Schizosaccharomyces pombe: one gene and its partners. The protein of the gene in region 2 purifies or fractionates together with the protein of the main gene of each other region. This does not show direct contact. Each region holds a gene or a part of one and is shown on either strand. Other genes may lie near its edges.

What was found. Proteins that work in one complex are often made in the same cells at the same time.
Region 1: the proteins of rmn1 (region 2) and tif1 purify together in Schizosaccharomyces pombe (affinity purification with mass spectrometry, with the first as the bait; one large-scale study listed by BioGRID). This does not show direct contact.
Region 3: the proteins of rmn1 (region 2) and iss10 purify together in Schizosaccharomyces pombe (affinity purification with mass spectrometry; one large-scale study listed by BioGRID). This does not show direct contact.

What each region holds. Positions count from the first base shown.
Region 1 is NC_003424.3:5,081,657-5,087,531, reverse strand, and holds tif1 (translation initiation factor eIF4A Tif1), read right to left. Parts: upstream 2,003-5,875; 5' UTR 1,970-2,002; coding exon 791-1,969; 3' UTR 501-790; downstream 1-500. Other genes in the region: RhoGEF for Rho1 Rgf2, read right to left, coding at 2,852-3,403, 3,448-3,869, 3,925-5,875. UniProt on the Schizosaccharomyces pombe protein: ATP-dependent RNA helicase which is a subunit of the eIF4F complex involved in cap recognition and is required for mRNA binding to ribosome.
Region 2 is NC_003423.3:487,730-496,686, reverse strand, and holds rmn1 (MTREC (exosome adaptor) complex RNA-binding subunit Rmn1), read right to left. Parts: upstream 6,832-8,957; 5' UTR 6,806-6,831; coding exon 6,776-6,805; exon of another isoform or gene 6,738-6,775; coding exon 6,700-6,737; exon of another isoform or gene 6,610-6,699; coding exon 5,067-6,609; intron 5,013-5,066; coding exon 4,854-5,012; 3' UTR 4,526-4,853; downstream 1-4,525. Other genes in the region: gamma tubulin complex linker Mto2, read right to left, coding at 752-1,945; idh2 (isocitrate dehydrogenase (NAD+) subunit 2), read left to right, coding at 3,032-3,103, 3,207-3,353, 3,401-3,449, 3,604-4,368, 4,419-4,525; protein phosphatase regulator Nem2, read right to left, coding at 7,915-8,457.
Region 3 is NC_003424.3:2,607,044-2,613,502, forward strand, and holds iss10 (protein Iss10), read left to right. Parts: upstream 1-3,982; 5' UTR 3,983-4,056; coding exon 4,057-5,712; 3' UTR 5,713-5,959; downstream 5,960-6,459. Other genes in the region: ptf1 (phosphoric monoester hydrolase), read left to right, coding at 1-146; serine/threonine protein phosphatase PP2A catalytic subunit Ppa1, read left to right, coding at 1,060-1,989; phosphatidylinositol-3,5-bisphosphate binding protein Atg1802, read right to left, coding at 2,426-2,438, 2,479-3,248, 3,305-3,411, 3,486-3,559, 3,618-3,661; SPOM_SPAC7D4.13C (uncharacterized protein), read left to right, coding at 6,253-6,267, 6,340-6,459.

The sequences.
Region 1 (5,875 bases), on a different chromosome or scaffold from region 2:
CTAACTCTGTTGATGCAGGGAAAACATTGTTTTCTTCTTTTCTTTCATTACATTGACTTAAAAGTCAAACTCTTTAAAACTAGTCAAATAATGTTTGCAGTTTAAAGCTACGTTTTTGAGAGCGTAAAGTGATGCAACCTTTAATCTCACAGTTAATATAAACATAGCGAATATAATAGGTTAATGGATCAATGATTAATAATAACTTTTACCTAGCAGAATTGTTTATTACTACAGACCATTTAACTTTTAGCAAAAGGAACTTCCTAATTCCTTACAAAAGTACGACTGGACAGTTACGGTTAACACAAATACGTTAGCTCTGAGCAAAAAAATTAATTCCACAAAGGTATACGCAGTAAATAAAAGTTCAATCCAAAATACAGATTGACATCCTCTATTCACTCATTTAGTTTTACCAAAAAACAAAAAAACGACAAACCTTCTAACCAAACTACAACACATTTATAAAAGTAATCACAGAACAGCTACACGAGGCTCAAAAGAAGAGTAAATATATGTAAATCAACCAAATCCAGCCTTTTATTTTGTGACCTAATGAATAAACAGCGTAGCCGAAAAAAAAAATCCTTTCTCAGCAAACACTAACACGACTCACAAAAAACCATATGGTGAGCAGCTATCAACCGGCACAGATAAAAGAAGCATTAAAAACATGGGCAAAGAAAAGCAGATAAATTAAGTTGCGGGAGGTTTGCCGGGTTGCGAGAAGAGCAATCACGGAGCGTTCCATATCTAGAACAAAGAGAAGAAAGGACTTTTGTATTTTTTAAATCAAGTCAGCAATGTTCATAGGCATTTCCTCAATGTGTGTATTGTAGAATTGTTCAATCTCACGCATCATGCGAACATCGTCGTTGGTAACAAAGTTAATGGAAACACCCTTACGACCGAAACGACCACCACGACCAATACGGTGAATGTAGTTTTCTCTGTTAGCAGGTAAGTCATAGTTGATAACCAAGGAGACTTGTTGGACATCGATACCACGAGCAAGAAGATCGGTGGTGATAAGAATACGAGAAGAACCAGTACGGAACTCATGCATCAAAGTATCACGTTGAGCTTGGTCCATATCACCGTGCATGGAGGAGACGGTAAAATCACGCTCAGTGAGCTGCTCGGTAAGCCAATCGACCTTTCTACGGGTATTACAGAAAATAACGGCTTGAGTAACAGTGACGGTTTCATAAAGATCGCAAAGAGTGTCAAGCTTCCACTCTTCCTTTTCAACGGCAACATAGAATTGCTTGATACCTTCCAAGGTAAGCTCATCTTTCTTAACAAGGATACGAATGGGATCACGCATAAATTTGGTGGTGACTTCCAAAACATCTTGAGGCATGGTGGCAGAAAGAAGAACAACTTGAGCAGTAGGAGGCAAAAGTTGGAAAATGTCGTAAATTTGGTCCTTGAAACCACGGGACAACATTTCATCAGCCTCATCAAGAACAAACATTTGGACGGCATCGGTAGGAAGAGCACGACGTTGAATCATGTCGTGAACACGACCTGGTGTACCAACAACAACGTGAACACCAGCTTGCAAGGCAGCCATATCATCACGAACAAGAGTACCACCAATACAAGCATGGCATTCAACATTCATGAGATCGCCTAAAGCAACAACAACCTTTTGGATTTGTTGAGCAAGCTCACGGGTAGGAGCAAGGATAAGAGCTTGGCATTGCTTCAAGCTAGTGTCAATCTTCTGCAAAACAGAAATTGAGAAGGTAGCAGTCTTACCAGTACCAGATTGAGCTTGAGCAAGGACATCACGCTCTCCCAAAATGGGCATAATGGCTCTTTGCTGAATGGCAGAAGGACGCTCAAAACCGTAGGCATAAATACCACGGAGAAGCTCAGGCTTCAAATTCATGTCGTCGAAGGTGTCAATAACCTCATCGTAGTTGGTTTCAATAACCGAATCCTCCAGTTGGTCTACCATTTTAGCAATCTTGCTTAGCTAGGTGAGTGGGTTGTGGAAAAAAAGTTGAAGGGTTGTAATAAATATTTTCTCTAACACACAGTCACACACCTGAAAAATTGTAATAATTCCTGATTATTTTAGTACTTTAAATACACAGACTTTTACTGAAAAATCTATTTAAAAAAATTATAAAAACATTTATGTACACACTTTACTTTTAAGATTTTAGATGTCTTCTAAAAAATGATGTAGCAAGAAAAACCCTACTGAACGTGGCGATAAACTCCTGCACACTCTATCGAAGCCTGCGTTAATGCTGTTTAATACAGATAAGCAACTCGTTGCGAAAAAGTGTATTTTACGTGGTAATATTTGGTGAATGCTAAAACATAAAAAATGTTAAGGAGTTTGGAATGCATATAAAAGCATTTTTTATTATTGTAACACTGTTCATGTTATCTTCAATAGTATGAAAAGTTATCGATTACACATGAGTATTTTAAACAATCACAATAAAAGATAATGAATGAATATGCTGAATGCAGAGAGGTTGTTTATTAGTTGACTAAAGAAATGCATAATAAATCTATGGAAAAAGAATGATTCGTAACAAAAACAGCGTGCAATGTTGAGCAAATTGAAAAAGACACAATTCGTTTAATAAAACACACAATCGTCAATAGCATTATCTCAACCATAGTAAATATATGTACGTAGGAATTTTTAAAGTTATTCCTTAAAGAGATGAAGCAGGGTCATAGATTCTTGAAGCTTAGATTGTAATAGCATATATTATAATCAATTGATGTGGCATGCAAAAGATGTCCGGAGTAGTAAATAGTATTCCAAAATGCTCAAGGAGAAGTTCGCACAAATGTTGACAGTACTGTCATAAACGATCTAAAGTGCAGGACCTGCTGCATTTGCTGGAGGAAGTATTAAAGAATGAACTATAGGATTTTCTCCAGATGAAAATGGAATTGGCTCAGTGCTGTAAAGTATTTCACCTCCTTCACTAATTAACCCTCGGCCATCAGTTAAAAGTTTAATGTTTTGTCCCATTATGATTTGAACGAGTTCGGCTGTTTCGGCATTCCTAATTTCAATGAAGTCCGGCTCAAATGCCAGGATATATGGATAACACAAAGCGCAACCTTGAGGTTGGCCCTCCCAATTAATCATCCAGGATTGCCTAGATTTCCAGCCATTCGTATTAACAAAGAATGCAAAATCTGAATAACAGAGGAGAAATTCTCCTCTTAAGCGAAACATGGCAATCGGTCGAATATCTTCCCTCTTTTCTAAAAATCTAAATGAAGTATCAGCAGGATTTAACAAAGATTGGAATACGGCATTTTCCAAACTTATAATATCGAATCCCTTAAAACTTCCCACACAAAGCTTTGTCTTGAGAAAGTGAACGGACAAAGCTTCCATCGGCATTTGTACCTCCTAAAAAAATGTTAGTATAGAGAAAGAACGACGAGGTAACTCACAGTAAATATTTTCAAAGTTGCTTGATTGCCAAAAGGCTTTTTTAGAGACTGGGTCTTTTTGTTCTTCAAGGCACGATCAGCCTCATAAATCCTCAATGTAGTATTTAAAACGGTGGACTTTACCGCACAGACTAAAATTCTTTGCATACAAAAACCTGTTTTGACGAAACTAACATGACCTGTTACACGTCGCAAAGACTTTGAATTAATTTGTTCTACTGAATCAAGAGCGTCCAGAGGTAACTCGTACAAAATCTTCTCGGCTAAAAGCAATAGAACGTTATGTTCCTCAATTACATCTAGTTGAGAGATATTTGGTAATTGCAGCTTGAAAATGGGTTCAAGACAACTGCCATTATTACTTTTTCGAGAAGAGATATATAGTCCCTTGTAAGTTCCAAATAGTAATTTACGGCCCGCATCTAAAGAGCTGTTAACAAACATTTACTTCTTTAACATATTGTTTATTATACTTACCATAGGCAACGGCACATAATAACTTGTTGCCGGTAAACCAGGACTGACAACATATGCCTCGACTTTCAAATACCAAATGACGCTTTCGAATGATATCTTGCTGTTTCTCAATGTGTTGTTTCCATTGGTCTCTAGCAATCAGTGTATTGAGATAAAGACTTATAGAAAAACCACGGGCTCCAATAAATACTAACTGCAAACCGTATGCTTTAACAGGAGGTGGATTACTTTTTGTAATTGAAATTGGATTAGTTAACAAAGCAGAAGATGGTCGACGCGGAAGGCTACCTCTCGATGGCGAGTCTTCGATGTAAGAAATCGACAACAATTCTAAAGGTAATGGCCTGAGATGCAGTTTATGAACTCTTCTTTTCATTTGAATCTTTATCTTACACAACAAGAGAAAATTGTCCAGTAAAAACATGTGAATGTCGTTTTCAGTGTCCCCATTCGAATAACTACTGGCTTTTAGCTTGACGACGCCTTTGAAAATCAATAAGCGAGATGGATCAAACAATGTTAATTTTGCTCGATCCGCAGGGCTGCAGGAAAGCTGTTCGTTTAACTGTAACAACGAGAGTCTATTTTCAGTCTTCCCTGTTTCATAGTTAAGCTTAGTAAGAAATTCACGAATCATTTCGATTACACGAGGAATGTTTTCCGTATCAGGATTATCTTTATCAGTGTACTTAAGAACTCCACTTAATAGTAGCGGATACCTCGCAAGGCGAGTCGTAGGCTTGGTCAAATAACCATTAAGTTCTAGTTTTCTAGACTCTCGTAATCTTTCCACTTCATGAACATAATTCGCAAAATTCCTATTCGTACTTTTTTCACGCTCAAATTCAAACTTGGCAATAGCCTGATTGGCACCATATTTTATAAAAGGCTCAAATTTAGGAACATAATCTAAGAAAAGATCACCAATTGTGTTAACTACAGGTTGCAGAGTTTGAGTACGGTTTAGAGCATTTGACAAACGAGAATTGACAGCATGGATTTGCATGATATTATGAAAAACGCAACGTATAAATTGTTGTCGGTTGTTTTCTGGTATTACATTTGAGGTTGAAAGAGGCTTAATCCAAAAGTCACGTATATACTCTAGGTCTCTGACGAAGTCCCGTTCTGTGTAAATAACCTCAAAAATGATTTCCTGTCTTTTCCATTCACGGACATCGATCTGGTCTACAACTTGCTTAGGAACATTTTCCGACCATAAACGATGATCTTCCTCTTGTTTATCTGTAATCGAAGTTGATCCCCCACTTAATACAGGTTGGACCTTCAAATGGAGACGGGCCTGCTGCTCTAGTCGACGTGGGCAAGATATAGAATAGCAAAGGCGATTACGAGAACATGTAGAGGAGTAGCATTCCGTTAAAAGAGTAAACACTCCATGAGGATTGTATTCGGTTTCAGGAGCTTCAGGCTCCTTAGTAATTGCGCTTAGGGATGAGGTGATGAAAGCTAAAGAATTTACCTGTACAGACGAGGAGATGGTAGGTGTCGTAGAAGAATCAGATAAAACAGAGTCAAATGAATCAGACGTGTTCGCTCTTCTTTTTGTGTAGAGAAAGTTATTTTCGATCGACGATCCATTGGAATCCATCGAGGAGAGACCAGGAGGAGGAGAAATGATACGTCGGTACTGGTAAACTTCCTTGAGCGAGTCGCGAAGTCTATGAGAGTAAGTAACGTCATGAAACATCTTTTGCGAATCCAGGGCTCTTCCTAAAAGTAACGCCAAATTCCTGTCAGTCGTCCGAACTATATGCATCAATACATCGACAGCTTCCGATCCAAGAAAGGCATCTTTATAAAGAAGACCATCCTTCACACGGTCACCGATGTTAAGACGCTTTCGGAACTCAACGGCGACTTGAGAAAGAAAAGCCGGATGTATATAAGGGCGACGAGATGAGGTAGAATTGGAATGCGAAGGGGCGAT
Region 2 (8,957 bases):
ATTCATTTTGTGAGTTACCTTCAAACATTCATGGCACCAATAACCATTTCAACTTAGCTTCCTCTATAATATTTAACTTGCAAGAAGATAACTGGAGAATACAAATTTTCAGTGTTCTAATAATTGATGATAGACTGAAAAGATGTATGGAAGTATTGTGAGCTCCTACCAAGCTACAGCATTTGATGCTTTTCTACAGGTGACAGAGGTAACGCATTTTAACAAGTTGGTAAACTTGAATATAGAAAGATACTAAAAGTAAATACAGTAACGAGTTAAATTATCTGATTCATTTTATAAATCAGGTGCGAAATAAAGCTAATTAAACACAATGTACCATTTCGTCTTGCGAAGAAGACATCCACTTCCCAAATCTAAATTATCGTATATGGTTAAATAATGAAAAGATCTGCACTGAATTATCAATTTTAAAAAAATAGCATTGATGAGAAGATGAACAAAACCTCAAATTTTAAGACGTTCTCATACTATAAAGTTTGAGCAAGCAATGCAGCAAATAGAGATGCAGCCAGATCCAATAACATTAAAATAGACGTCCTAGTAGGATTAGCAACTTCTTAAAGAAATGAGCGATATAAAAAAAATAAAAACTTGTACGAGAGGGACGACAAATTAAATGATAGCACTCCTCAATCAATGTTTGTATGAACTTACATGTATGAGAAGAACCTGATTTACTTGATAAACACAAAGAAAAATTGATTCAAAATTAAACTTGTAATAGGCCGAACTAGGGGGAAGGAGTGTCTTGAAGAGAAGGAAAAGACTGTGATGCTGGAGACGCCCTCTGGGGGATAATAGGATGAGCAACTCGCAAAGACGTTGGTGATGGATGCAAGCTCGATTTGTTTGTAGAATTCGAGACATGACGGGTTGATGGATCGCTACGGTACCGGAAATGAGATGCAGCACTATACATTTGAGAAGGAGGAGTAGAATGTGTATGAATTTTTGAATGAAATCGGGAATCATCAGAAAAGAGAGTTGTTCTAACATTATGATGAGAAAGTTCATTTGATTGAAGATCAACTGATGGAAAGGGGTCATTTAAATGCAGAGAAGGCCTACCATAACTATCAGAGGCCATACGTTGTGGTGAAGAATCAACAGAACTGGTATAATTCAATGGTGGTGTATGACGGACAAGATCTAAAGAGTTTGAGCTTTCCTGTTGACTCAAAATAGATGCATCGATCGCTTCTTGCACCAAGCCAAGACACAATTCGGCAAGGCTTCGGCATAACGCATCCACCACACTCGATGGAGAGGTGTTTACCAAGGTGATTGCATGGTTTACAGCTTGCTCTACGGGCTTTAAAATGATGGGCGAAGGATGATAAGTGCGAAGCCGCATAAGAGCCGTTTGCATCGTGCTTAGCGGCGCCGGTGAGTGAGGTGAATGAGTAGAGGGTAAAAGAGAAGGGTAACTGTTAGGAGAACGATATGGACTAAGATTGTTATGATAGCCTAAGTAGGAAGAGGGTCGCTCACTGAGTTGAAGCTCTACTTGATTTAAGCGTTCTCGGAGATTTTCAAGCTCCTGAAGCACAAGGTTATTATCTGCAGTCGATACTTTTTCCAAAGACTTTTCAGAAACAAATTTCGCTGCTTTATGCTCCTGTATAGCATTATTAGACTTCATTGAATTCACGTTTGCATCCGCCAAACTCGGCCAAGACGGCGAGTAAAGAGGATTTTCATCTTTTGTAAAAGAGACCCCATTGTCTAAATAATTATTATCGCTATACATGGAATCTTCTAAAGGTTCTGTCATTAAAGATGCGGATCTCATACCAGCGCGCCATGGTGAACCTCTTGGAGTAGATTCGCGCGAATTTGAGGATAATTGATTAGCAGAGGCTTCATAATTAAGAAAAGGATCCTCTGCCACTTCCCTATCAGACTGGTAATTATGTTCAGACATGCGAAACCACCAGCAAGACGCTGGAGGATTAGAATAAACAGTTGCAAGACCAAGCTCGAATTTGCAAGAGATTCTTGCACTCTTGAAAGATAAAGAGTTGAAAGCACGAATTAACGAATAGAGTATGCACTCTGAAAACCTAACTTAACATACTGTCTTATACTATTTAAAAGTAATATTGCAAAACACAGCAACAAGACAGTTCGCTATTAGTTATCATAACGTATTTTAACGGGATCCACGAAGTTTTCCTGAATAAGCTTTTCCCACAGTTCGTTAGGATAACTTGCTAGTTTTTATTAACCGAAGCTTAATTCTAAGCGGCAACTTCGACTGTGCGGGCAAACAGTACGCTTCGTTACATGTCACTATGCTTTTTTAACTATTCCTAAAAAATCTTTAAATGCCTTTAACACACAATAATCGTTATTGTTTTTAGTGAGTGTATGGTTGAGATAGTTTGAAATAGGAACTACGTATTCTAAAATGCTACACTATTTAAGACAAATAGCAAAACATCTTTTTGTTGAATGAATGAATATATTTGGAAGAGTAATTGAGAAAATAAAGCATAATCCGAAAAATTAAAAAAGCACACCTAGTATATGACAACACTAATTTTCCAGTTGAGAACAATACAAAAGTCAAGATATCAATAACACCAGTGTGAAGCTACAAAATTACAATTTTTTTAATTCAAGCAAAACCAATTCGTCGAATTATCCTCTCAATTTAGACAATTACATCTTTAGTTACTGAATATACCTCAAGAACCAAATAGATGTGTTTTTTAAACAACATTAATAATTATGTACTACTGAAATTATCGTTAAAAACTATATAACGCAATAATAGACAATGCAGTAAAAAAGAGCGCTATGTAATAACAATTCCTCATTCCGCTTCGAGGGGCTTTCTAAATGGTTAAACTCCACTCAATTACCCTTGCTTAACTCCACGTTCTATCTCCACAAAATTCGGTAAAGTCAAATTAAGGATGATGCGACGACTCTCGGAATCCTTTGTTTATATCACGGTCCGACATCTTGCACTCTCCATACATGCTACATTAGTTATAAAAAAACAATGTCAATGCTTTCTACTTTACGTACTGCAGGTTCTTTACGGACGTTTTCAAGAAGCGCCTGTTACTCTTTTGTAAGTTGTGAATTGGCTCCTAAGCGATAAATCGCTGGTTTAAGCAGCCTTACTCGTCTTTTCATGATTATTTGATCGATTATATTAACAGAGTTATTTTTAGCAGAGATTTTCTTCAACGAAGGCTGCCGCTGGGACATATGAAGGAGTAAAGAATGCCAACGGGAACTACACAGTAACGATGATTGCTGGCGATGGCATTGGTCCAGAAATTGCTCAGTCTGTAGAACGTATATTTAAGGCTGCAAAGGTTTGTCGAGTCATCCGTCATTTAGTCATTAACGACTTGTATTGTAGGTCCCTATCGAATGGGAACGTGTAAAAGTATATCCTATTTTGAAAAATGGTATGTCAAGTATAAGAGAAGATGGTTGGATTTGTATGCAGTTTGGCCTTTCTTTTATACGTTTTTGTCAGCAATGCTTGTTCCTGCTTGTCAAGTCCTTCCATGTCTCCTCGAGATTATCGCGCACGAAAATCACGTTTACTAATTCGTTTAGGTACTACTACTATTCCTGATGATGCTAAGGAATCTGTTAGGAAAAATAAAGTGGCTTTGAAAGGTCCATTGGCAACCCCAATTGGGAAGGGTCATGTTTCTATGAACCTTACTTTGCGTCGTACTTTCGGCTTGTTTGCCAATGTTCGTCCCTGTGTATCTATTACGGGATACAAAACACCTTATGATAACGTTAATACCGTTTTGATTCGTGAGAACACTGAGGGTGAATACTCAGGCATCGAGCATGAAGTTATACCAGGCGTTGTTCAATCGATTAAATTAATTACTCGCGCAGCATCTGAGCGTGTTATTCGTTATGCATTCCAATATGCTCGCCAAACTGGCAAGAACAACATCACCGTAGTCCACAAGGCTACCATTATGCGCATGGCTGACGGTTTATTTTTGGAATGCGCCAAGGAGCTTGCACCTGAATATCCTGATATCGAGCTTAGGGAGGAAATCTTGGATAACGCCTGCTTGAAGATTGTCACCGATCCTGTCCCTTATAACAACACAGTTATGGTTATGCCCAATTTATACGGTGATATTGTTTCTGATATGTGCGCTGGTTTAATTGGCGGTCTTGGTTTGACTCCTTCCGGAAACATTGGCAACCAAGCTTCCATCTTTGAAGCTGTTCATGGTACTGCCCCTGATATTGCTGGAAAAGGTTTAGCCAACCCTACTGCTTTACTGTTATCTTCTGTAATGATGTTGAAGCACATGAATTTAAATGATTATGCCAAACGCATCGAATCAGGTATGTGTTTTACTAAATTAAGATTTTGTCTGTTTACTAATTACCATTAGCTATCTTTGATACCCTTGCAAACAATCCCGATGCTCGCACCAAGGATTTGGGCGGCAAGTCAAACAATGTTCAATATACCGATGCCATTATTTCTAAACTGAAGTAACATGCCCATTTTGTTTACTTCTTGCTATGAACACTGAATTTATGTTTCTTTCCTTATCATGAGTTTTCTCTCCTAGCCGATTTTTGTTACCACTTTTAATGAATTGTGTAACGATTTGAGTTGTAATTCGGAAGCATTAACTCTTTTGTATCAAAAAACCGAATTGATCGAAATGTTAGTTACAAATATTTCAATATGAAATCTCCATTTTTGAAATGCTTATTGCACTCTATAAGATTAATCAATTAGTTGCTTATATTTTATGACAGCCGCATACAATGCAGCCCATTAATTCATTCTCTGAAAAACTTTTGTAAAAGTAAATAAACTAGCGCCATCTTCCTTCTTCTACCTCTATGTTCATGTTGTCGCTTGTATTAGATTCGCCAGTCTCCATGGATGTAGTATTAGTTGTAACAGCTGTTTTTGGCACCCACGCCAACTCCAATTCTTGAAGTTTTTCAACGTTCCGAACTCCACCAAAAAACTAAAATTTGTTAACTTGAAATTTTTTCTGTCAGAGAAAGAATCAGCTACATACCTTTTCAGCGGAATTTCTATTCTGAAAACTGATAAGACGTTCAGTAGTTGAAGGTTCAGTAATTTCCTCATATCCTCCAACAGTGAATAAGTATTGCAACAAAGCTTCATTTTTTTCAGGAGAAACATTTATTACACGAAGCTTAGTTGGACGATTATCGATGGACATTGACGCAAACATATCACCTCGTCCGCGACCTCTGCCACGGAAAAATGTGTTGGTACCTCGCTGGGGAAGTCCTGAAGCGTAAGGATGATGAGAACCATTAGATGCCGCTGGGCTTTCAGAAACGTTGCTCACAGGTAACCCTAAGCAATCAGCCTCAGCCTTCAAAAGAGAATGCTGAGTTTCTAACAACATGAGTCTTTTGTTTCCTGAACGGTCAGTTTCCTTAATTTTTTGCATCAGTAACTCTTGTTCTTTTAATTGTTGCTGTGCAAGCTCGCGCTTTTTTTGGTTAAGTTCTTCTAGTGCCTTTTTATTAGCATTTATGCGTTTTAAACGTTCTTCGTGCTGCCTTTGCCTTTCTTCAATCAGTTTATGAAACTCTTCGTTTTGTAACAAAGAAGCAGGATCGACATCTTCAGAACTCTCTACATTCGACGAATCGGAAGTAGTGGGAGATTTATGGGATGCAAACTTCTTTGGTCGATTGTGAAATCCCTTTGACGGATTATACCAAAATATTTTAATAAAGCGATTGTTAAATATGGGCTCAGGCGAGGACCAAGCATTGTTGGCAGCCTCATGGGAAGTGAATTCTAACACACAAGAATGATGTGTCGGATTTAATTCGACTTTCTCCAATACACCGAACTTTGAAAAAAAGGACCTAATGTTCTCCTCATTAAAATGCTCTTCCGGAATGTTTCGCACTTCTAAAGCAGTACTTGTTGGATCATTGCCAGCGTTACGAGAGAAGCGATGTCCCAGATGGGGTTGGGGATACGCTTTGTATGGATTAAATCTTCGATTACCAGGAGAATGCCTACGAAGTTCACTATTATGCTCATGGCGCATGCCAAATCCTCTTTTACCTCGCATCTTAAATGGGGGAGGGAAAGGAGGCTGCGCCGCAGGATTAAATGGTAAGAATGGTATGGGAGGCATTGCAGGATTTGGTAAGTTTCCAAACCCAGGAATACTGGGCATGAATTCAGAAGGTGCTGTGGCTGCTGGATGGTACAACGGAGGTCCAAACATATTAGGCACCTGAGAGGGAAAAGTGTTTGTTTTTCCTACAGCAGGTAAAGAATTATTAAAATTGGTTTCCATGCTGTTGGTGGCAGGGATCATTGATGAAGTTGGCGAATACCTTGAAACTTCTTCAGTCACCATACCGGTTGACGGCATATTTGAAGCACCCTCCAAGTAAGATTTTTCACGTAAAACATCAAAAATTTTATCAACAAAAGGAATTGTCTCCTGTCGCAAAAAATCTTCTAGTTGTGAGTAGCATAACTGGCGAACTTCTTCTTCAGAAGAATCGTGCCTTAACAATGCCATAGCATAATCTGATAAAACACTTGCATCAGCATCAGAACTAGTCATTTCGTTAGCATATTGATAAACAATTTTTTAGCGTGTAAAAAAAAAAATCACGCAAATTGGCAACTCAAAAAAAATTACATACATTGGCTCCAACGCCTGTTCTAAATATCTTTTCAAATACTAAAAGCGTTAATTCGGCATCTTAAAAATAAAATTACCTCAGCATGTTCTTCTAAGAACAACGGCATTGTGATGGAGCAAAGTGCTGGTTGTTGGAGCGTTACGCATGGTTGAGCCAGTAAGAAAATATAGATCACATAAGGTAAAATCTTTAACAATTAGCCAGAAAGTTCAAAAAGAATAAACATAATACCAAAATAATAACAAATGTCTTAGCTAGGGCAATTGGCTGGGATAAAATTTAACTGAGTAGTCGACATTAGATAAGGAATAGGAAGGTTTGCATAATATTACTCGTATTTAGACTACTAATATACAATGTATTTTAAGTCAAACTCTGACGATTATGAGAGTTTCGAAAGAGTTCACTTGTCTCCAATTATTTCATTGATTAAATTGTCAGCACAACAGTGAGTAAACGTGTTAGCTATATGCACTTTTTTATATTTTAGCACCACTTATAAATAGTTAATTTTAACGGTGGAGTGATTACATTTATATTAAATTATTTGAAAACCTAACTCGTCAAGAGAGCTAATGAACGTCCGGTATAGTCCGCATGAGTAAGTTGAAAATTAAAAAAAAAGGAAGTCTCTACATAAGAAGAGAAGAAGTTTTGCTTATGTACATGCGAAAACGCTTTTTACCCATTTTTTAAAAAAAAAGGTGATGTAGAAAGAAAAGAAAGATTATAAGTCGGGAATGAAAGATAATAGTTTAAGTTGACAGAACAAGATAAGGAAGTTAAGTGACAGCAACTTTCAATTAAGCCTTTATTTAAACCCTTCCAATTAAGATGAGGCAAGTAAATGATCAAGATGTGTAATGAATCATCAACATCCTTTTTTTAATTATCCAACGATAAATCCTATTTCAGTGGGTCTGTAAAGCAATCTCATATCCCAACATAAAAGGAAATGTCCTTAAAAGTATCCTAATAAATTCAAATCGGGTAAGTATGTAATAAAAGTATAACGACAATAACTGATCAATAATATAGCGAAAGGCGCCAGCAACAACGGATAGCAAAAAAAAAAATAGCTGAAAATTTTAATCAAAATTTACGTTATGAAAAATGACAAATACTAGAACAGTATAAACATGAAAAGCATTAACAACGTTGAAAAGGAAATAAACGATCGCATCCTTTATAAATAGGATAAGGGTATAAGTAAATCTAGTTCTGTTTAGAAGAAGGAGATTCAGAGGACTCGTTACTCTGTATGCTATTGTTTTTTCTATGTATTGAAGCAAAATATGAAGAACGAAAAGCTTCCCAACCTTCGATCACCAATATGTCAAATCGTTTGCTTGATAATATAAGATGGACACCACAATCCAAAGGCTTTCTCACCTGGAACCACGGGACAGGAGTTATAACAAGGCGAATGTTAAAAAACCTCATCGCTTTGTTGACTTGTTGAACATAACGTGATGGATATACTATTGTAGTCCGATACAATCCAGAAAAATAAAAGAGCAAAAGTGTAACAATTCCGCATAAAAGACAAAGTTTGTAAGTCAAATCAATCAACGAGTATTTTGAGATGCGATAAAAGACGCGATAGCCAAAGTAAAAGTTCCACACCAATAGTGAGACATAGAAAGCCATATACTTTTGACGACGAACTTGAAGCTGTAGGTATGTTTTCCGAAACGATGCCTCTAAAATTAACAAGTTGTGATATACGGACAGGGTGTTGGGCACATAAGAGGACATGGCATTTTATTCACTCTTAACAATACGTAGGAAAAAGAATAAAAAGATATAAAGAACTTGAAAAACAGAATATAAGAAAGCTTTTTGGAGATAACAATAATTGGACAATATCCAACACCAATTACAAGAAGTCGTTATGAAGACCACAGAATGAGATATGTGCGTAACATAAGAACTAATTCAATTAGTAATAGTACAAGCCGATGATTCTAAAACAATAAAAGAACAGCCCTTCTAATTTGCTGATTCAAGTATCAATCGGATGGCAGATTCTAAAAGTCAATGTCAAAGCTACGCGCCGATAGCTATAATATCAATAGTGTGCAGCTGTCTACTTCGATATGTGCTATAGTAAACGATAGTAAACGTTGGTATACTGTATAACGATGCAAAATATAGTGAGGGAGTGTTAACTGTGTTCATTATTTGGTAAACATCAAAGTCTTAAAAAGTTCCGACCAATGGATTAGAAAGCTTTTACTGACATCTTTTTACTAAAT
Region 3 (6,459 bases), on a different chromosome or scaffold from region 2:
GTGCTGCGAAGGAAACAGAACACTTGTTTGCCAAGAAAGGACGTGATTTAATTAAATATTGTGAAAGGGAGAAAATTTCTTTCTCTGAATTCGAAACCTTTGCTGATATCCATAAAGATTTGCAAAAATTATTCTTTAGCAGTTAAATCTGAATAATACCTAAGAAGTTTTCGTACTTCAACATTTTTATACCTAAAGTTGATAGATATTTGTTATCAGCGCCTCGAAACTTAGTTTCAAGCAGGTCCTCATAGCAATTTAAATGCATCATTCACCAACGGTTCGATTAGTTTGGGTTGTTAGAAGCAATGATTTAACATAATTTGTATTTATATACTCATCCATTTGCGAGTCTTGTATGAAAAATCCTATATCATATCAGTCCGTAAGTGGTCGCATTGCTACAATATCTCTTTATTTTTTTTAAGAAAGAAAATAAAGAGATATTAAATTTTGCGTCTTTTGGTCGTGAGATCGCCGAAATAAGGTAGCGAGTATAACATAATGTAGATCACGCATATTGTTATATTTTGGTTTGGTAAAGTTACTCAAAGTCAGGAAACTTGTAATGATGTTTTAAGGGGCTTGCAGAAAAAATTGCTATTACGAAATCCATGTCTGTAATATTTTGGTTATTAATAAATTGAAATAAAATTTAAAACATGAAATATTGTGACTTTATGTATCCTGTCTACTACCATACCTTTCAACCTTCATACAAATTTTCCCGTACTCGCATCATTTTCTTTCTTCACCTAACTCCCCACCGTGTCTGTAAAACATAATATTTCTCTTTCCCACATACGAACGAATAAATAATAAAATACAGTATATGTACAGTAAACGTACCTCAGACACCATTATTTTGTCAAGAAAGTGAATAAGCTTACAATACCCCCGTCATCCAGTGAATTCGTAAGTGGGAAGTTGAAAAACGCATGCTCAACGCAGGATAGCATACAAACGGAAAAGCCCTTATGGATTTTTCTGTGGATGCTTTTCTTTTTAATTAAAAATTTAGTCGTTTATTAACTATTGCTTTAAGTTTTTTTCAACAAGATGTCTGTCTCTGGAAAAATTGGAGAGGTCGATCGTTGGATTGAACAGTTGAGTCGATGCGAACCTCTTTCAGAGGAAGATGTCATTCAAATGTGTGATCTCGCAAAAGAGGTACTTTCTGTAGAATCAAACGTTCAAAGCGTCCGATGCCCTGTAACGGTTTGTGGTGATATTCATGGACAATTCCATGACTTAATGGAGTTGTTCAATATTGGCGGCCCTTCACCTGATACAAATTATTTGTTTATGGGAGATTATGTTGACAGAGGATATCACAGTGTAGAAACAGTTTCTCTACTGATTGCTTTTAAAATTCGATATCCCCAGCGTATAACAATATTACGTGGAAACCATGAATCTAGGCAAATTACACAAGTTTATGGATTTTATGATGAATGCCTTAGAAAGTATGGAAATGCGAATGTTTGGCAGTACTTTACAGATCTTTTTGACTATTTGCCTCTCACCGCCCTAATTGAAGATCGAATTTTTTGCCTTCACGGAGGTCTTTCTCCTAGTATTGATACACTTGACCATGTTCGTATATTAGATCGTGTGCAAGAGGTTCCTCATGAAGGTCCGATATGCGACTTGTTATGGTCAGATCCTGATGACCGACCTGGTTGGGGTATTTCTCCTCGAGGTGCTGGGTATACGTTTGGCCCGGATATTGCTGAAGCATTTAACCATAATAACGGTTTAGATTTAATAGCAAGAGCTCATCAGCTAGTTATGGAAGGTTATAATTGGACTACAAACCATAATGTTGTTACTATTTTTTCTGCTCCCAATTATTGTTATCGATGTGGAAACCAAGCAGCCATTATGGGAATTGATGACCACATAAATTACGCATTTATCCAATATGATACTGCTCCCCGAAAGGAGGAATTACATGTCACCAGAAGAACACCCGATTACTTCTTATAAGTCATCGTATGTTTTACTTTCTTCTTGGACTTGTTAATAGCTGGAATTTTTCATGGTTGGATTTTAGCGTTGTCAACGTGCCGCTAAAAATTTACTTTAATTTTATGGGTTTCTAATAGAATGTTGTTATCTTCGAATTTTTAATTCTCCTGTTTCGGTACAAATATTGAATTTATGGAATGCATATAAAATTTATATAGGATATATGATGCACTTGTAAGGTGTCTACCGTAATGATAATTTTTCACATCTGTACCGGTGTATAATATATTAGTGAAACACCAACTTATCGACATTAACATTTTAATAAATTATCTACAAAGGTCTAAACATAAATGATAGCATGTTCAGTAAATAAAAAAAAAACATAAGACCATGAAAGCTAAAACATTGTGAAGCTGATGTATGAGTAAATTTAAAACTTGTGCGCAAAAAGTTAATCGTCAAAGCTAGATATGTTAATAATCGAAAATTTAACAAACAGCTTACATGTAACGCTCAAGTAAAGCACAATTTCCTCCATTTTTAAGATTTACTGCGAACCGATAATAGTGTCCTGAATAAGAAGCTACTTGTATGTGCGGACCGCTGCTCGAAAAAATTATTTTTCCATAGAAAGAAGCTTCAGGAATCTTAGCAGTTGCAAATTCTTTCCTAGTGTCCCAAACTTTTGCTACATTTGAAGTTAAATATTTTGACCAAGAAGATGACACAGTTACGGAAGATGTAGGAGACGAATTCGGATCCGATGGTTGCTTAGAGATTTTGAAAACGTGAATAGTACCATTTTCAGAAGCACAAGCCAGAAAAGGCTCAACTGGGTGAAATGAGATAGATACAATGGATGCAGGTATATATCCCCTGCGCAATTCTGTCACCAATTCACCATCACTAGTTGTTATAACACGGATTACAGTTCCCTTTGCGGATGCAGTCGCAATCAAATGTCCACGCGGATGAAAGTCAACTACTTGGACAGCGGAAGAATGGCAATGAATCAATGTGACGGGTATTGCAGTATCCAATGAGGCTAAATAAATATCACCAGGGTTGGTCGGTGAATTATATGCAACATAATTCTCATGAACAGCAAAAGCTATAACATTTCCTTTCGAGGTATTTAGAGTATTAATTAATTCCATGTTTTTTAGATTATATACGTAAATACTCCCTTTAATTAAAACAACTAAACGATTCCATGTGAAACGTACACTTAGCACAGGACTCGGATAAAATATTCGGCATAAAACGATATCTCTCTAAAAATATGGGTTAAAATTAAGAAATCAATGCAGAATCTCAGTTAACTAATTACCTTGATGTCAACCAATTTTAGTAACCTCGTCGACTCAGGGGAAATATTCACGAAAGCAAGTAGAGAAGATTCATAAAGCATTTCACAAATACTTGCCCCATTGGCTTCTACAATCAGTAAGTTATAAGTCGTGTAAGATGGGCTTGTGTTTCCACTTCTCGGAAATTCATTGACAGCTTACTTTTTGAAAAGCACAGGGTAAACGGATTGGAGCGATAAACTTGATAGCCATTCTCAGAACCAATTGATAAAAAGCTAAATTTAGCAGTCAGTACAAAGATTGCACAAAATCTATTTTATGTGTGCCACTTACCCACGATCTTGATTCCACGAACAGTAAAGGATAATCGATGGCATTTCTCTTAAATCGACTGTTAATTTATTTAGTAGTTCACATTCACCCCTGTCTTAATACAATTGCTGATCACGTTCAATGGTAAAAGTAAAACAGATTTGTGCTAAGGCAGTGTGCGTAATTGAAGCAAAAAATAATGTGATTCGTACAATGCAAAAGCTTAACTTTGTAGTATCCAGAATATAAAAGAACCCATTTGAGCCTTTAGCAATTTTGATTAATGAATGTTTTTGTTATGTTTGTATTATGCAAGATAATATATACAGTGGTGCAGCGCTCCTTAATGGTCACCTCTACGCACATTCAAGAGCGTATATCTTGGCAACATCCAAATGTTGAATAAAACTTTTTTTGGGAATTCATGAATTTTTATTGTTTTGGTTAAATTTAAATATTAATGGATGCCGTTGAACCTTCTGTGGAGAAGGAATACAAAAAAATAATTTCTTTTAGAGATACTGTGTTTGAAGGGAAACATCAACAATTTTTGGTTCCGAACAATGTTCGTTTAAAATTTTTAAGAGATAGATTACATAAATCTTTAAAAAATTTTGATTCTGTTAAACGGAAAGTCGAAATTGCAAATGATGAAGGTAATAACAAACTCCTGAAATCATCACCCAAAGCACAAACCAGAGATGAAAATACTCCTTCTGAATTTAAGAATGGAGGTTTTAGTAACAGAGAATCTATGTCCGAAAACTGTTTTTCTAAATCATCTACTAATTTACCACGGCTAGACATTAACCGTGATTTTAATTCCTTACTTAATAGTCAAACAAAACCTGAAGCCACTGGTTTGATGAAAGAGGATATTACTCCCGTTGTAAACACTAGCAAACAATCTTCTACTGGGACTCAAGAGGAGTCCTCAAAACCGGAAAAATCTAATAAATTGTTAGCAAAGAGTACTTTATCTTTGTATGGGAATCAAGCTTTTAATCCTTCTTCAGTTCTTCCTAGCAATTCTTCATCAACGCCTAAGGAAAATAAAAAAAATGTGAATAAAGAGACATATCAACCGAACACTTTTCGCCGTAGTCCGTTGAAAAATGATACTGGATCAGTGGAGTTATCAAACCTGTATATGCCGTCTCCACCATCATCTGCGCTTCCCGTATCGCTTGTGTCAGCTCCTTCTCCTCCGAGGGCAACTAACGTTGCAGTCCCGTGTCTTAAACATTTGGAATCGAGTGAGCAGGGCAATAACCTACTTATTAACAAAGCTTTTACTTCTCCTCGCCTTCCTTCACCTCCCCAGTCAACAAGACCTAGCTCTACTAGGTTTCCTTCGGTTCCTTTATCAGATGAAAAAAACTCAATTGTCTCCGTAAAAAACGAAGAGCCGTCTGTCATTCTGGGAAATCAATCACCAATTTCGGATTTGCATCCGTATTCTCCATCTTGGATCCCCTATCCAAAGGAATTGCAATCGCTACAAGTCAATCGAATACCTGAGTTGTCCTTGGAGAACAATGTCATGTCAACTCGGGATTATAAGGATATAATGCCTCACCCTCGTCCTTCTGCTGTCCTTTTAGATAAACCGGTTTCTTTAGATCAAACTTCTCATCCTTTCCCTCATCAAAATACTTATATTCTACCTCCGGGGATAAGGAATTCTGTAGACTATGACGGCACTTTTCTTTCCCGTAAATCGCTTCCTCCTTATAATGGCATTCATCGTCTTCATGAGAGCCCTTCTCAGTTTTCAAATCAATCAAGATATAATTGGGAGCCAATTTTAGAAAATCGCTCCCTGCTCCATTTGAATCGTCCGCCTCCTATTGAAACGCACTATTCATACGAATCTAACAATTCATCGTTTTCTCCGTATTACCATAAACGGCATAGACAGATTTCTCCATACTACCCCACTTCCTCAGTTTATGGAGTTTATGAAAGTCCGCCTCACATGTCTGATTCTCGTATTTCTCGGCAGCATATGCCTTTAACGCATACTACTTATGAGCCTTCTGCGCCTTATTATAACGACTATGAATTAGCAGAGGAAATTGAGAGGCGTCGTCATCATAGCTTTTATGATTATTAGCTATACTCTTCCGTAAGTGCGCGCAACAATTTAAAAATTGCTTGGCGGAATATTTGAATTTGCATGTTTTTGTTTTAACTTATAAAGAAAATTAAGTACCTTTAGTACTGGTAATGTTTGATGTACATTTATTATAGTAGATAGAATATTCATGTTGCATAAATTGGTTTCGCACTTTCAGTTAACATTTTCAAATTCATTTATACATAAATACTTTTTTAGATGATTAATAAGAGGCGTTTCATAAATAGTATAAGTACTTTGTAAGCCTATTCTAATGGATGTGAATAAACAAAGAGACTATGGATTATGTGAATAGTTATATTACTTTCTTATTCGATAATCAAATTTTAAAGCTCCCAAATGCAAGATTATTGAAGAAATTTTGAAAAAGTTTCTTTAGTTAACATTAGCATGTAAAAGACACATAAACCCTAATTGACTGTAACATAAGAGACCTTTTACTTACGTCTACAGCGATTATTCTACTGGACTTAATAAAAGCAAAATTCGGACGGTCGAAACAACTCATTTAGACGTATGAGTCTATTTATTGTAGGTTAGCTTTTTGAATGAATATTACATATCATTATTTTTCTCTTTCTTTCTCTAACTACTAAAACCTAGGGTACTCATAACATCAAAAACTCAGCAATACAACTTTTAAAGACGAAACTGAAAAATGAATTTTTAAAGGGCGTTAAATGTATTACTAAATATCCCGAAAATGCACATAGCATTTTTAAA